Linked DNA regions of Rhinolophus ferrumequinum. The main gene of each other region encodes a partner of the protein of the gene in region 2 in a complex. Links are inferred from orthologs where the notes say so. Each region holds a gene or a part of one and is shown on either strand. Other genes may lie near its edges. The genes, in order: CALR3 and CELF1.

The links.
Region 1: CELF1 (region 2) and CALR3 share a complex: the UniProt entries of both Homo sapiens proteins name them as parts of the EIF2 complex. The link is inferred for Rhinolophus ferrumequinum from reciprocal best matches to the Homo sapiens genes CELF1 and CALR3.

The regions. Positions count from the first base shown.
Region 1 is NC_046301.1:50,011,384-50,019,339, forward strand, and holds the start of CALR3 (calreticulin-3), read right to left. Parts: upstream 3,200-7,956; 5' UTR 3,141-3,199; coding exon 3,050-3,140; intron 2,830-3,049; coding exon 2,728-2,829; intron 141-2,727; coding exon 1-140. Other genes in the region: C18H19orf44 (uncharacterized protein C19orf44 homolog), read left to right, coding at 4,797-4,807, 6,717-7,476. UniProt on the Homo sapiens protein: During spermatogenesis, may act as a lectin-independent chaperone for specific client proteins such as ADAM3. Required for sperm fertility. CALR3 capacity for calcium-binding may be absent or much lower than that of CALR.
Region 2 is NC_046294.1:13,704,077-13,712,216, forward strand, and holds the start of CELF1 (CUGBP Elav-like family member 1), read left to right. Parts: upstream 1-5,086; 5' UTR 5,087-5,238; intron 5,239-5,370; exon of another isoform or gene 5,371-5,576; intron 5,577-8,140. UniProt on the Homo sapiens protein: RNA-binding protein implicated in the regulation of several post-transcriptional events. Involved in pre-mRNA alternative splicing, mRNA translation and stability.

The DNA.
Region 1 (7,956 bases), on a different chromosome or scaffold from region 2:
CTTAATGTAGCCCCCTCCACAGTCCATTTTCTGCTCGTGTTTCACTGTGTACTGAATGACCAGTGTCTTCCCTTTATTGGTAAATGGTTTGAACCGTGCAGAGATGGCATAGAATCGGCCATTTTGAGTGGTTTGCAGACCTTCAAACAAAAAGCATTCATGAAGGATTAGAAATGACACGCTACTCAGTGATGCAGGAAATTAAATAGTTGTCTTTCCCCTCCCCTAAATAATAAACCTCCTAACCACTTATGTCTATCCAGCGCTTGTAGCTTTTTTATACAATATACAATGGACATCCCACTACCAGGCTCTCTGCTGCCATGGAATTTCTTTTTGACACACTAAGAAGATGTTTTTGTACTTAATACACCAATGTTATGTCTTATGTTATAAAAACATTTCAGCTCTGAATGACAAATATGCAATCTAATTATGGATAAAAGGTTAATTTTGCTTCCATTCATCTTCCAAGGGGGTGGGAACATACAAGGAAGCTTGTGTAGCAACTGAATTAAAAAACAAAGCATTCTACTTCTTTTCCTTAATTCTCATCTTAAAACAGTGAGTTAAGACACAAAACAGCAAATGGATAGAGTGCTGATCTGTAAAAAAAGTGTTTCATTGCACTGGGGGCACTGGGTGAGTGTCATCTGTATGATGGCTCTTTTTATAGAGATACCATCCTTTCGTCATGTGAAGCATCTCATATTCGTTTTATAGGTTTGTGTTCACTTCAAGAACAAAACTCCTGGACTGGCCCAGTGGCTCAGGCGCTTGGGGCTCCGTGCTCCTAATGCCAAAGGCTGCCGGTTCAATTCCCACATGGGCCCGTGGGCTCTCAACCACAAGGTTGCCAGTTCAATTTTTCGACTCCTGCAAGGGATGGTGGGCAGAGCCCCCTGCAACTAACAAGGGCAACTGAACCTGGAGCTGAGCTGCGCCCTCCACAACTACGATTGAAAGGACAACAACTTGACTTGGAAAAAATCCTGGAAGTACACACTGTTCCCAATAAAGTACACACTGTTCCCCTTCCCCAATAAAATCTTTAAAAAACTAAAAAATAAAAAACATAAGAAAATAACAAAACCCCTTTTCAAGAGACACTAGGCTCTGTACCAAATCCTTATCTTATGCTGGAATTCATCGGACACACCTAAAAACAGAGCCAGTCTTATAACCTAGTCTTCCTCGCTCCAGACTCTGGCCCTCATAGCTGCCTACGCAGAGAGTTATCATATGAACGAACTTGGCATTTCGTATCAATAGGTCCAAGCCTGAACTCACGCTGATTTCCTACTACCACACCTCTCTTTCTGTGTTCCCCATTCTTTCCTCACCCTTGCCTTTCTCAGGGGATTTGTAGCCCCTCCCCCTCTCTTGGCCTCTACCATCGAGGCAATTCCTAAGGCCACGTGATTCACCACCTCCATGTCTTATTACCCTTCTCAGCGCCCCCCCATGGTTTCCTACCACCTCCCATCTCTGTCTGACTAAATTCTATCTGTACATCCATGGCTTCTATGTCATAGTCCCAGGGGACCATAACATAAGGGACCAAATTAACTGGTATCCTCAGTGCCTTGCCCGCGTTGCATCTGCATTTAGCAGTCATGTGCTGGAGTGAATGAAATGCACAGAATCTCAGGAATCCAGACTGGAGGAAGGAAAAACATTGTGGAGAAAAAAGCAAGTGGGAACTTCTGCCCTTGGACAAACTTCATGGAATAACCTGTTTGTTTTCATTCCATGTAGTCTGAATTCCACATAGCCTGATTTTTGACCAACTCTTTGGGCCAACATGTAACTTACAAAACAACGGATATACAATCGAAAACCAGAGGCTGCTGGATAGGGCAACGTCGGGCCAAGATAAAGGTTGAATGGAAGGTGGAAAAGAGGAAAATTTTTCATCCACATAAGGGTCGGCAAATTTTTTATGTAAGGTGAGAGAGTAAATGTTTTAGACTTTGTCAGCCTTTTGGTCTCTGTCCCAACTACTCCATTCTGTCTTTGCAGTATGAAAGCAGCCATAGACTATATGTAAATAAATGAGCATAGTTGTGTTCCCCTGAAACTTCTTGTATGAACCCTGAAATTTCATATATTTCATTGAATTTTGTATAATTTCTGCCTATCACAAAATAATATTCCCCTTTCAGTGTTCCAACAATTAAAAAATGTAAAAATCATTCTCAGCTTGTTGGCTGTACACAAAAACAGGAGGTAGACAAGCTGTAGTTTGTTCCCTTTGATCATCAGGAATGAGAAGAAGCCAGAATAGAGGTTATCCTTGGTACCAGGAGGCTACTGACTGAAAGGGTGGGGGCAAAAGGGAGGCCTCTAGGGAGGAGGGGCTGAAAATGTTCCCTAGTTTGACCTGTGTGTACAGACGTAAACATTCCTCCTGTTGTATCCCCTAAGATCTGTACACTTGACAACATCTAACTTTTACCTTGTTTTACTTCTAAAAGTGAAAATAAGAAGTATTTTTTCCTCTGCAAGGCAAGGCCCGGGGGTCTCTGCAGTGACTACAAAGCAGGGTGATCTCGGGCAAGTAAAGAAAGGAGAAAACAAGAAATAATGCCAAACCCTACCTGTGCCTTCGTTTCCCCAGCTGTGAATGGGTGTAAGAGGTGTTCGCCGTGAGCCACACCTACCTTGAAAGACTGTTATGGAGAGTTTAGCATTTAGCTAGACTTTTCTCACGATTCCTACACTAACCTTTGTCTTTCTCTTTATGGCCATAAAATTTTCCCGACGAGAGTCTAAAATGCCCCAATTGGGAGTCATTAGTGGATTGCACCCATCGGTTCCTCCAGCGCTCTGTGGGGCGAAACAACAATGGTTAGGGCTGAAAACTGTTAATTTGGGTCACGGTGAGGGGGCCCATGGTGAGGGGGCCCCTCGAAGCTTCGAAGCTTCGAGGCTTAGCCTCATTCATTCCACTGCGACGCGCCAGGGCCACAGGAGACTCAGGCCATCCCTCGAGCAGCACGGAACCGGGGAGCTTACGACCCCTGCACCGCGGGCGTCGCCCCTTCACCTCCGTCTAGAAATTCCTCCTGAAAGTAGACGGTTGCCAGCGCCACTCGCAGCACGCAGACCGCCCAGGCCAGGACGTGAGCCGCTGCCATGAAGGGTGCAGGGCACTTCTGTAACCGCCTCTGCTCCCAGCGCTCTCTGCCGCGCTCCGTCCCCGTCCCGGGACTACAACTCCCGTCATACCTCGCGATTGTGACCTGAGGCATGATTGATCCCTGATGCGCGGCGTAATCCGGTCCCGTACTACCACTCTCATGACGCCCCACAATTGTGACCTGTGGCGCTATTGGTCTTTGGGGGGGCGGTACCTGCTGGGAAATGTAGTCACTTCCGCCTTGGCGCCGTTGCCGGGGCAACGGACCTTTGGTATGAGTGCCCCGCGGAGATCCTAGGCGGCCGTCGCGGATGGACGCCATGGGAGGAGGTTGGAAGGACTAGCTGGGCGGCGGCCGGGCTTGGGAGAGGAGTTGCAGGGAATCGGGGCTCGTCCGGGGCTGAGCTGGGAAGGCTGCCCCCACCTCCCGCCCCGCGCCTCATGCCTCAGTTTCCCTGTCTGGGCCCACTCGGGCGCGTGATCCGGTGTGAGTCGTTTCCGATTTGGGGAAAGACCCCGGAGAAAGACTCCGAGGCACGTCAGTGTTTTCAAAGTTTTTATTTATTTTTAACAACTTTGAGGATGCATTTACATACCATACAGTTCACCCCCTTTAAGTGTACAACTCCGTTGTTTTTAGTAAACTTACCAAGTGGTGCAGTTATCACCACAATCCAGCTTTAGAACTTTCCATCACTGGAAGAAAATCCCTCTTACCCCTTTGCAGTCCATCCCCGCTACCACCCCCAGCCCCAGGCAACCACTGATGTACTTTTGGACTCTGTTGATTTGCCTTTTCTGGGCAGTCCTTACGAATGGAATCGTACAGTGTGTGGTGTTTTGCATCTGGCTACTTTCACTTATTGTAATGTGTTTGAGATGTATGCCTATTGTTGTGTGTATTGGTATTTGTTCTTTCTTATTGCTGAATAGTATTTCATTGCATGGATGGACCGCAGTTCTCACCCACTCTCTAGTTAATAGGTATTTGGATTGTTTCCACTTTTTGCTTATTGTAAATAATAACTATTATGAATATTTGCATACATTTCAATTATCTTGGCCACATGGAGTAGAATTGCTGGATCATTTGGTAACTATGGTTACCCTTTTGAGGAACCACCAGACTGCATTCCAAATTGGTGACTGCATCATTTTACAATCCACCCCCCCAACAGGGTATGAGGGTTCCACTTTTTTCACATCTTTACCAATGCTTGTTATTATCTGTTTTTGATTATAGCCATTCTGGTGAGTGTGATGTGGGATCTCCTGGTGGTTTTGACTTGCTTTTCCCTAATGGCTATTAACGTTGAACATCTTTTCATGGGCTTGTTGGCCATTTGTGTATATTCTTTGGAGAGATGCCTGTTCACATCATTTGCCTACTGATTTATTTTTAATTGTATGTATTTTAAATAGATCTATTTTACTTGTGGTAATATGTACATAACATAAAATTTGCCATTTTAACCATTTCTTCTATTGTTTTATTTTAAAACCTAGGGAAAATTTCAGAAGAACTAAATGCTAGAAAACCTGGCCTGGTGATAGGGCCTCCCCTCTGACCCACAGAAAGTTCTGGACTGAGTCGTCTCCTGGGCCTCAGCTACAAAAATATTAACGAAGATAGCTGTTGACGTTTCAGAGCAGTATGGAGACGAGGTACGATTCTGCGTCTTGTCTCTTTTGCCTCACACATTATTATTATTATTATTTCTTAAAGATTTTATTGGGGAAGGGGAACAGGACTTCATTGGGGAACAGTGTGTACTTCCAGGCCTTTTTTCAAGGCAAGTTGTTGTCCTTTCAGTCTTAGTTGTGGAGCTTAGTTGCGCAGCTCAGCTCCAGGTCCAGTTGCCATTGTTAGTTGCAGGGGGCGCAGCCCACCATCCCTTGTGGGAGTCGAACCAGCAACCTTGTGGTTGAGAGGACGCGCTCCAACCAACTGAGCCATCCGGGAGCTCAGCGACCCCTCAGCTCAAGGTGCCTTTTTCAATCTTAGTTGCAGGGGGCGCAGTCCACCATCCCTTGTGGGAGTCGAACCAGCAACCTTTTGGTTGAGAGCCCGCGCTCCAACCGACTGAGCCATCCGGGAGCTCAGCGGCCGCTCAGCTCAAGGTGCCTTGTTCAATCTTAGTTGCAGGGGGCGCAGTCCACCATCCCTTGCGGGATTCGAGGAGTCGAACCAGCAACCTTGTGGTTGAGAGCCCGCGCTCCAACCAACTGAGACAGCTGACCACCCGGGAGCTGAGCGGCAGCTCATTGACTTCATTATAGTTGCGGAGGGTGCAGCTCGCTGGCCCATGTGGGAATCAAACCAGCAGCCCCGCTGCCCAGAGCTCACGCTCTCTAACCAACTGAGACCCCCGTCTGCGCCGCCTTACATATTATTTTGCGGGAGACATTATGCTCACAGAACAGATCTCCCTCATTCCTTTTAATCGCTGCATCGTGTTCCATCATCTGAGTGTGGTCTCCTGGACTTTACCAGGTCTCTATTGATAGGTTCAGGTTTTCGATGAGTACAAACAACACTGCCCTGGCATTCCTTAAATATACATCTCGGCGCGTTTGAGAATGTAACTGTAGGTAAATTCCCAGATGTGAAATTGCCAGGTCAGGGGTCTGTGCAGTTCACATTTTCATTGCTGGTGCTGAGTTTCGCATTAAAGGGCTGCAGCCAATACATACCCATCCGTGCCGTATTTCTCCATCTGTTTACATCTTTAAAGCCTTTTGAAACCTTTGTACATCTTGCAGTGGATCGTTCCTACTCTCTCAGGGGCACACAGGAACTCTGAGAATATGATGAAAGCTCTGGTCCTTCTCCCACAACAGTGTACGCCAGCATGCACACTCGACCTGTGGCCGACAGTCGGTGGGGGGTGCTGTGTCTGTCCATAGCTTTCCCCTCCTTCCTGGGCAGTGGTTCTCACACTTTAAGTGAAATAAGATTTGGCAAGGAGCCCATGAAATACACAGACTGTGCTTCAACAGCTTTTTGTGAGAGAGCTGAGGACACTTGGATAAAAGAGGAGCCTCGACTTGGGGTACGATTGGGGAGCAGGACTCACTCGGATGACAGGGAAAGTAACTGGTGAGGTAGTGAAGCCAAGTGGGGGACAGTGGGGTCTTTGGAATCAGACCTGAGCTTTGAATTTGGCTCAGCTACTCATCGGCCAGGTGACCTAACCTGTGGGGGCTTTCATTTCCTCCACCTCCTGTAAGAAGGGGTGACAATAATCGACTCATGGGGTTGTGTGAGGGTTAGATGAGGTAATGTACCTCTGAGCAGAGGGGTGGGCACACTGCTGAAGCCTGAGAACTGCTGGTGCTCATGTTTCATATGTGACAGGTCTCATTTAAGACCAGGTGTTGAACGGTCATTCATTAAGTGGTACCAAGTGTCTAATCATTTTACTTGTCAGCATCAGGCTTGAAGGGGAGGCTCTGGCCAGACCGCGAAAGAGGATTTGCTCTCTTCTGGGGTGGTGAGAGCCACTGAGAGATTTGAATGCACAATACAAACATCAGGTGTTCTTACTATAAGTTTTCTTTCTTTGCTCCCTAGAATGGCTTCAACAAGGAAAACCAGCCATCCCATGCGTGATATCTTGGGCGATTTCAGTGATATTTCCTTAGAAGATTCCAAGGTGGAAGAAATCAGAAACTTGAACATCAGTAAGAATCTCACCAAAAGAGCTACCAGTCATAGCAGATTTCTAAAAAGAAGCCAGACTCTGGGTGAAAAACACTTATTCCCGAAAGAGGATGCTGGCCTGGGGGGTGGGCCCTGGCTGTCCTCAGGTAGACCCCTGACCACGGCCTCGAAGCTCAGGACCAGTGCCGCACTCAGGAAGCTGGCCCAGATTGAATCCAAGATCATGAACCGGAAGGTGCAGCTGGACTTGTCTGACATGGAATCCAACCCAAAGACCTCCAAGGACAGTCTTCCCAGGAGAGCAGACGAAATTCCTCCAAGGAATACGGTTGAACTTTCTTCACAGGAAACAGTCAAAACCTCCCAGAAGCAGGCCTGTGCAAATCCTGTCACTGAGAGTGACACGCTGAGAGGAAAGACCAGTAGGTTTCTAAAGAAGAGAGAGCCATCCATTGAAAAGGTATCCCCTAAAGCCCATTTTGGGAAAGAGCGGAATTTTCCAACACCCAAAGAAAAAGAACCTACTAGAAAATTGGATTCTCCAGACAGTGATGAAGAGGAAATGAAAGAGTTGCTGGGAAGCTTGATGGAATCTTCTAGAGAAAAAGAAATACGCACAAAGCAGGGTTTAACCAGAGTCAATGAGAATGAACAAATTGAACTATTCTTGGTAAGGTTCGCATGTATTTCTTTTCAACAAAGCCTTTGCATTTGTACCTTTCTGTCATAGAGCTAGAGACTTGATAGCAGCCGTCACCCATCTACCTGAGAAAAGGGATTGCCGAGGAAAATTTGGGTTTCAGACAGTCACAGCTACTATTGTGGGCATGCTCTGTAGGGGACGGAATTATTGGGGGCACATTAGGCAGTTCTGCCATACTAACTAATTCGTTACTGTGTACGCCGCAGGACAGCACTTTGTCAGACGGATCCAACACCAGCAGTGATTAATGCCTTCAGCGACCACGCCTACTTGTCACTTGTACCACACAGCAATCGTTCACTTGGGAAGACTGTATTTCCATTTCTTAATTGGGATGAAAGTCACATAAAATTAACCATTTTTAAATGAACAATCCAGTGGCATTTGGTACATTTACAATATTGTGCAACTACCACCTCTGTGTAGTTCCAGACATTTTTATCACCC
Region 2 (8,140 bases):
CAATAGCTTCTGATATTCAAAAATTTAAGTGTACCATCATTTCTTTAACCATTTCCGTATCAATGGATGGGGAACCCAGCTGCATATCTTCCTTTTTTTTTTTTTTTTTTTTTTTTTTTTTTTTTTTTTAGCCAATGGCGAATATAGTGAGTTCCATGAGGTCAGAGCCCTGTCTCTCTTATTCATGCCTGTGACCCTACCGTCTAGCCCAGTGTCTGACATAGTTAGCATTCAATTAATACCAGTTGGCTGAATCAAAGAATGCTGCCAAAAAAGGCCTTGTGTATGCTTTTCCCACTTCTTGCGTTTCTGAAAGAAACATTTCTAGATACAATTGCTATATTAAAGAATATGTTCATATTTTTAAAAGGTCATGGAGAACTTTTCATAGTTTTGTTGAGTATAATTGACATATATTACACATTTAAAGTGTACACTTTGACATATATATGATATGTCATATATATGTGTGTATATATATATATATATATATATATATATATATATATATACCGCACTTGTGAAAACATCACTGCAATGAAGATGATGGAACGTATCCATCACCCCAAAAAGTTTTCTCATGCCCCTTTGTAGCCCCTTCTTCCCGCACTTCTTTATTCTCATATCCCATTCCCTGGGAGCCACTGATCCACTACAGATTTATTAGCATTTTCCAGAATTTTATATAAAAGCTGTGAATATTTTTAATTTTAATGACTATTGTTAAATTTTCCTCCACTATGGCTATGTCTGTATACATTGAGAGTGCCTATTTCTCACAACTTTATCAACCTTTAAAATTTATTTCTATCCCAAACTGACAGTAAAAAAATAAATTTACATTGTTTTAATTTGAATATCTTTATATGTGAGCTGAGATTGAACATCTTATGTTTATTGGCCATTCGTATTCTTAGGAATTGCATGTTCGTTTCCTTTGTCCATTTGCCTAATGCTCACTTATTGTTATTCTTCCTGGCGATAGAAAGTGCATAAATTCTAAGGGTATGACTTGATAAATTTAATTTGTCTATACTCCCATGTGATGACCACCCAGACTAAATATAAAATGTTCTAATTCTCCAGAAAGCTCCCTTATACTCCCTTCAGTCAATCAAAAGTAACCTCTTTTCTGACTTTTCTTATTATTTTTGACTGTTCCCAAACTTTAATTAAATAGACTCATACAATATATGCTCTTTTTTTCCTGGCTTATTTTGATCAATATTATGTCTGTGCAATTCATCCATAGTGTTATATGCAATAGCAGTTTGTTCCTTCTGATTGCTATATAAGTAGTCCATTGTAAGTATGCTGCATATTTATTTACCTTTCATTTCCAGTTTGGGCTATTATTAAAAAGAGTGCTATAGACCATGGTTTTGGTGGAAATAAGTACATGTTTCTGTTGGGAGTAGAATTGCTGCATCATAGGGCATAAGTCATTTAGCTGTTTGGCTTTAGTGGATATAGTCAGTCTTCCAAAGTGGTTGTATCAATTCTCATTGCTACCAACAATATTTGAAAAGTGCAAAAAAATAAGTCTTCACTGCAAATCTCAGGAGGGAAAAGATGGTCTTTTCAAGTGGTGATGGATCAACTGTATATCCACATGAAAGAAAAAGAAAAGAAACTTGACCTCTGTTTCACACCATATACAAAAATTAGAGATGAATCCTAGATCTAATAGCAAAAGATTAAAGCAATAAACGAGAAAATTAAAGGAGAAAATGTTCACAGCCTGAGTAAACAAAGCTTTCTTAAATAGAACACAGAAATTACCAACCATAAAATAAGGACCAATAAATAGGGCCTTACTAGAATTAAAAACTTTTATTCATTAAGAGAGTAAAAGGCAAGCCACAGACTGGGAGAAGATATATAAAATACATATCTCCAACAAGGAACTTGTATTCAAAATATATAAAGAACTCCAACAAATCAGGGAGAGAGAGAGAGAGAGAGAGAGAGAGAGAGAGAGAGAGAGAGAGAGAGAGAGAGAGAGAGACTTGAGTAAGCGATTCACAAAAGAGAATATCCAAATGGTCAGTAAGTACTATATATGTAAAGTTTTTCAACATTATTGGCCATTAGGGAAAAAACAATTTAAACCACAATCCAATACCACTACACCCCTACCAGAATGACTAAAATTAAAAAAGGACTGATAATACCAAATGGTGGTGAGGAGAGCACTGTTAATACTTTAATAACTATTCTTTCTGGGTTTTGTCTCTTTCTCTCAACAAACACACTTTCCAACAAAGATGGAATCATCTGTACCTATTAATTTGTTACCTGCTTTATTCATTAAACATGTATCATATTAACAGTTTCCCACAATTAAATATTTTTCTGGATCATTATTTGAAATTATATATAATATTCTAAGCTATGGATATACTATACTTTATCAATCTCCTTTTGTATCGAATTTTATGCTATTTGAACAAAGTAATGATCCATATACATCAGTACATCTCTGCACTTATCCATGGTTATTTCTTTAAAATAAGTTCCTAGAAAGGGATATAAAATTTCATATTCCTCCAGATAGATTATCTGAATTTTACTCCCACCAGCACTTGAAGGCGGCTTGTTTCTCTGCCCCCTTGCTAACACTGGCTATTTTTAAAAACAAATCTTAATCAATTAGGAAGGCAAAAAATGAAACAGGGAGCTCTTCATCTCACATCTGGCTTTTTTTTGTATTTGGACTCGAGTATTTTTTCTGTGCTGTGAAGCCCTTTGAAGTTATAAGAGCTCATTTATGTTCTTCATGTAATTGTTCTTCCCCCCAGCTTTGGGCTAATGGGCTGTGGCCCCTCGGTAATTAGATGCAAAAGTGACACCGCTAGGAGTGGCAGTTCCTCTCTGCCAATGGGAGCCTGAGGTCAAGGGACAGATAAAATAGGAAGAAGTTTCTGGGTGCCCTTCAAGAAACATCTGTTGAACCAGACACTGTGAAAAGCACTGGTCCAACATGAGCATAACAAGACAGGTGTGGTCCCTGCTCTCATTTAGCTCATGGATGAAGGTGATCAAAAGGCACAAACTTCCAGTTGTAAGATAAGTAAGTTCAGGGGATGAAACGTACAACATGAGTATACTTAACAGTGCTATGTAGTGGTATACTCGAAAGTTAAAAAAGAATAGATCCTAAGAGCTCTCATCACAAGAAAAAAAAAACATATTTTTCATATTTTTTTTTGTATCTGTATGTGATGATGGATGTTAACTAAATTTATTGTGGTAATCATTACACAATATATGTAAATCAAATAAAAAATATTTATTGAGCACCTACTATGTGTCAAGCATTATTGTAGGCCCTGAGGATAAAACAGACAAAATCTCAATCCCCATCAAGTTGATCTTCTGGTGGGGGAAGACTACAAATAAAATAAAATATGAAGTACAAAATATACTATGTTAGATAGTGATAAGTACTTTAGATAAAAACAAAGCAGGAAAGGGAGGTTAGAAGCATGGATGTATGTGTGTGTAATTTTATTTACTTATAATTAGTTTCAGGTGTACAAAACAACTAGCGATTAGACATTTATATACCTCACAAAGTAATCATCCCAATAAGTCCATTAATGTGTAATTTTAAATACGATGGTCAGGGAAGGCCCAACTGAGAAGGTAATGTTTATTTTAAGTCAAGACCTGAAGAAGGTAAGGAAGTGAACCATATGGATATCTGGATAATTCTATCATTCACAAAAAATGAGTGATTCTCCACTTAAAAGGTTTCTATAGTCTGTGGTAGCTGGGAGACAAATATAAAATTGTGGGAATGTATGTGACAACATTCTATAAGCTACAGGGTCTATAGATATAAGATGTTCTCAGTAAATTACACATAAAACAATTAACAAGATAATATCTTAGCATAATAAATGTAAAATGACAAACTACATAGCATGATTAGGGAATATGATAGTGTTAAATTCAGCAGCTAATTGTTCCGCTCTACAAGATACCACAAAAACTGTGGTTAGTTTTGTTTTACTCCTAAAAGGGAAAGAGTTGCTTCCAATATATGTGATAACCCTTGAGACTTATGCTTGGGAGTCCACTTATGTGCGTGCGTGTGTGTGCGCGCGCGCGTGTTTTGTGGTAAGGTAGAGTATAATCAGTATTGGTGGGTATGAGAATTATTTGCTTTGGAAAGCCCGATGACGTTGCAGGAAAATCATTTGCAAACCCATTAGTTATTTGCATGTTGCTGGGGCCAAAAGGTCCCAGAACTAAGTTTTCTTTTTCTGACTCTATTTCACTGTCCCACGAGGTGTAGAACCTGCCAAACAAAAGACGTTATTAGCCTTTTAAAAAGAATAAACTGTTGCACTGTTTGCATTCCACCTAAATCCTGATCTTTAGCGTCCTAACCTGGGCTGTTCAGAATTTTTTTTTTTTTTCTGGGAAAAGCAGTTTAGGGCTGGGACATCAGTTTCTTAACAGAACCCCTATAAGCTTCGTGGTGCTGCAGGGATTTTTGCAAGGTTGTGCGTTCACACAGCGGATCAACCCGCTAGAAAGCACTCCGCTAATTCAGAAAGCTTGCAATACATTCACATTCCACATCTCAGCAAAGGAGAAAGGCCTGGGTCCTGTAACTCATCTGCTGGGGCAGAAAGGAGAGTTTGTCTTGTGGCCGAACACCAAGGCATTCAACCCAACCATTCATTTACCAAGTATTTTATTATGCGCATATTCAGTGCCAAGCAGGGGTCCTCGCCCACCAAGCCATCCAGAGTTCCTGCTGGGTGCGGTACGCAGAGCCGAGAACTTCAGATTCCCAGGCCGTGGTGTTCCCACCCTTCCCTCCAGGAAAGCTCAGAGACAAAGAGATGAGCCCCAGCAGCTCCCCGAGTTCCCCCGCAGCCCCGGGGGGCTACGGCGCTGCTGCTTCTCTACTCCCCAGCCCGAGGGGGCGCTGCAGCGCCGGGAGCTCGGCCCGCCCCTGCGCCGCGCTCCGCTCTGATCGGCGCTGCGGGCGGCACCGCGATGGTACGTTCCCCTTCACCGCCCTACCCCTCCTCCTAGGCCCTCCCCGCCGGTGGTAGGTGCCGGAAGTGCCGCCATTTTGGGGTGTTCTGTTCTGGCGGCAGCGACAGCGGCGGCGGGACGCGGAGGCTCCCCCGGGACTCGGCCTCAGCAGCGAGGCGGCGGCGGCTGCGGAGGCGCAGGCAGCAGCTGAGGTAGCGGCGGGCTCAGGTGCAGCCGCTGGTGAGTGCGGCGGCCGCGGGATAACGGGCCACGGGTGGGAGGGAGGGAGCGAGGGAGGGAAAGGAGGCAGGAGGGAGGCGCCGCGGGGCGGGTCCGGTCCGGGCGGCCGTGGGGCACAGGGCCGTCCGGGCGCGGCCGCTCTTCGTTCCCCGCGCCCTGGAGGCAGGTCAGCTGTCTCCTTCAGCGTGTCGGGGTCCTCAGCTCCCCGGGTCCCGCAGCTCTTGCCCGGCGCGTGCCCCCGCGGCCAGGGAGACCCGCCCTCCTCGTGGCCTCGCTCCCTCTCTCTGCGCCCTTTGCGTTCACCTCCGGGCCCAGAAGCCTTCGTTCTCTGCCCAGGGGTAGGTCCGTCCTCTCTTTTTCCGGCCGCCTTGCCAGACCCAGGCTGCTTGCCCGAGACACCCCTTCCCTGCTCCTGTCGCCCCACGTGTTCTTGGAGCTCACTGCTGGGGGGCCCCAGGACCCCCCGCCTCTGGAGGGCAGCGCTTCTCCTCAGGAGCCTTCCGAGCCCCTTTTCCTCGGCCCAGATCCGCAAGGGCCTTGGCTCGCCCTCCCCCCACATCAGGTGTTCACCCAGTCATGGCCTACTAGAAGCAGGGCTGGGATCTCGCACCCGGGAGCGCGGAGCGCAGTGAAATGCTTTCTGCTAGGCACCCGGTTTTGAATTTAAAGCCATTGCTGTCTTGGTTGTTGTCCTCGGGGCAGGATGTTTTAATTCTTGAAGACTGTTGCTCAAGCTTTAAGGAGCTTCTTGTTGGATTAGGCTCGTCCTTATAGTTGAGAAGAAGGTGGCGAGATTTTGTTCGGAGACTTTTCAGCAAAATGGAAGCATTTTTGCCAGCGGAGTCAATGCTGTACTTTTATTACCCTCGAGTAACAAGGCTGTATAACAGTTTTAAATAGCGTGGAGTGTTGTAATGTCTGCAGTGTAAGAGGTTACAGATACCCCGTGAATTCCTTACAGGAACTTCACCTTTTAAAGGCTTTTTACTGTCTGTGAGTCTCTGTGGGTTGGAGAGGCTTTTCTTGCATCCTTTCACCTTTCCAACAAGTGTTGGGTTGGCTCTCTTCAAGTGTAGCATCTGGAGTGCTATGCAAGTTTCAGTCTCCTGGAATTCTTGGTGAGGAAGGAGGTGTCTCCACTTAGAATCGTCCAGGGCTCTTTCTGTTTGAACACGGGATAAGTCCACTTGGAAAAGCATGGAGTTACCGTAGCATGCATAAACTATTGCTACAGTTTCCCCACACTCCCTCGTGCCAGTTTTAATATTCTTCTAGCTTTATACTACGTAGTTCTGATCATGAGTTAGCCAAGATTGAATCTGGAGCTTTCAGCTGTTGCTTTAACCAGGAAGTTTATGGTTCCCCCAGTGGTTCCTTCCTCTTGACACCTGTTTCCATTAAGAATAATTCGTGTCCCAGAGCATAGGCCACAACTTTTCTCCATCCATTCATTCTTCCTCATAGGGTTTTCTTTTCCTAGATGCTATCACCTAGATAGTGTCTGGACTTAAAATCCATTAGCATGTGGGGCTGTTAGAGAAAGAATGTTTTTTCCAACCCCGTCCCTTTTCAGATGAGGAAATTGAGGCCTCCAGAGGTTAAGTGACTTCTGCCCAAGGTTACATAGCAAGTGTTCTTAAAACAGTCTCATCACAGATTTTTTTAAAAACAATACCACGAGCAAATTGCCCTTTAAGATGTGATGGACTGGAAAGGTTCCTGAGCTTGGAGTTAGGAGGCCTGGATTGTAATCCTTGCTCTGTCAGTTGTTAGCTGTATAATTGTGACCAACTCACTGTTCTGAGCCTCAGTTTCTGCTCATCTGCAAAATGGAGGAAATAGTGTCTACCTCACATGCTGCTAATTTAACTTTAGTGCCATAGCACGTGAAAGTGCCTGTGGTATGAGAGGCAGACAGGGAAATTTTGATTGAGCCTGATGATTTGTTTATTTTTTATAAAGACTTGTATTTATTTTTCTTATTAAGTTATAGATTTATTATAAAAATAGATAAACCCAAAAGGAAGAAACTCACCCTTACTCCCACCAGTCAGGTGATTATTAATATTATTAATATTTAGTCTTTATCTTATCCTTTTTATATGTTATAGAAATATTGATTTTACCAAAAGAGAACCCCCTAGTAATGGTTTTGTGACATGTTTTTAAGATTTAATAATAGGTCATAGGCATGGTTTAACGACCACACTTTAAATGATGCTCTGTATTAACAGCTCCAGCACGTGTGAGGTAGGCCAGTGGATATCCCAGTACAGGAGCAGAGAAGTTGCTCTTTTAAACATGCTGGACTGGAAGAGGAGGAGAGGAAGGGCAGAGACCTAACAGTGATTGTATGTCTACTGTATGGTGGGTTTGTTTGTTTTTTTTAAAATATTCAGGCTCTGCTCCTAAATGTAGAGTGAGTCCTGAATTCGGTGCCCCTTCCTGTGACTGCCACTGTAGCTTCTTGAGCTTAATTTTACTGTGAGGCTGGACCTAATAAGGAAGTGGGAGGTTAGAAGTGGTGGTGGGCCTTGGAAAGGGAAAGAGAAGAGCTGTCACCTGGAGGCCAGGGTGAAGTTGGAGGAAGTAGGAGCATTAGACTCCTTTCTGCTCTAGGATACTCCCAACAAATTGCTGTTTCTTCTGCCTTATTTGTTGTTGTTCCTGTAGCTTTATTGAGATATAATTAACATAACACGCAATTTAGTGGGTTTTGATATATTACATTATTAATTTTTAAAAATTGTGTGAAATATATATACAAAATTTGCCATTTTAACCATGTTTTATATTCGCATTTTTGATGTGGTAAAACACGTAACAAAAAATTTGTCATCTTAACTAGTTTTGAATATATGGTTTTGTGGCATTAAATACATTAATGTTGTTGGGAAACAGA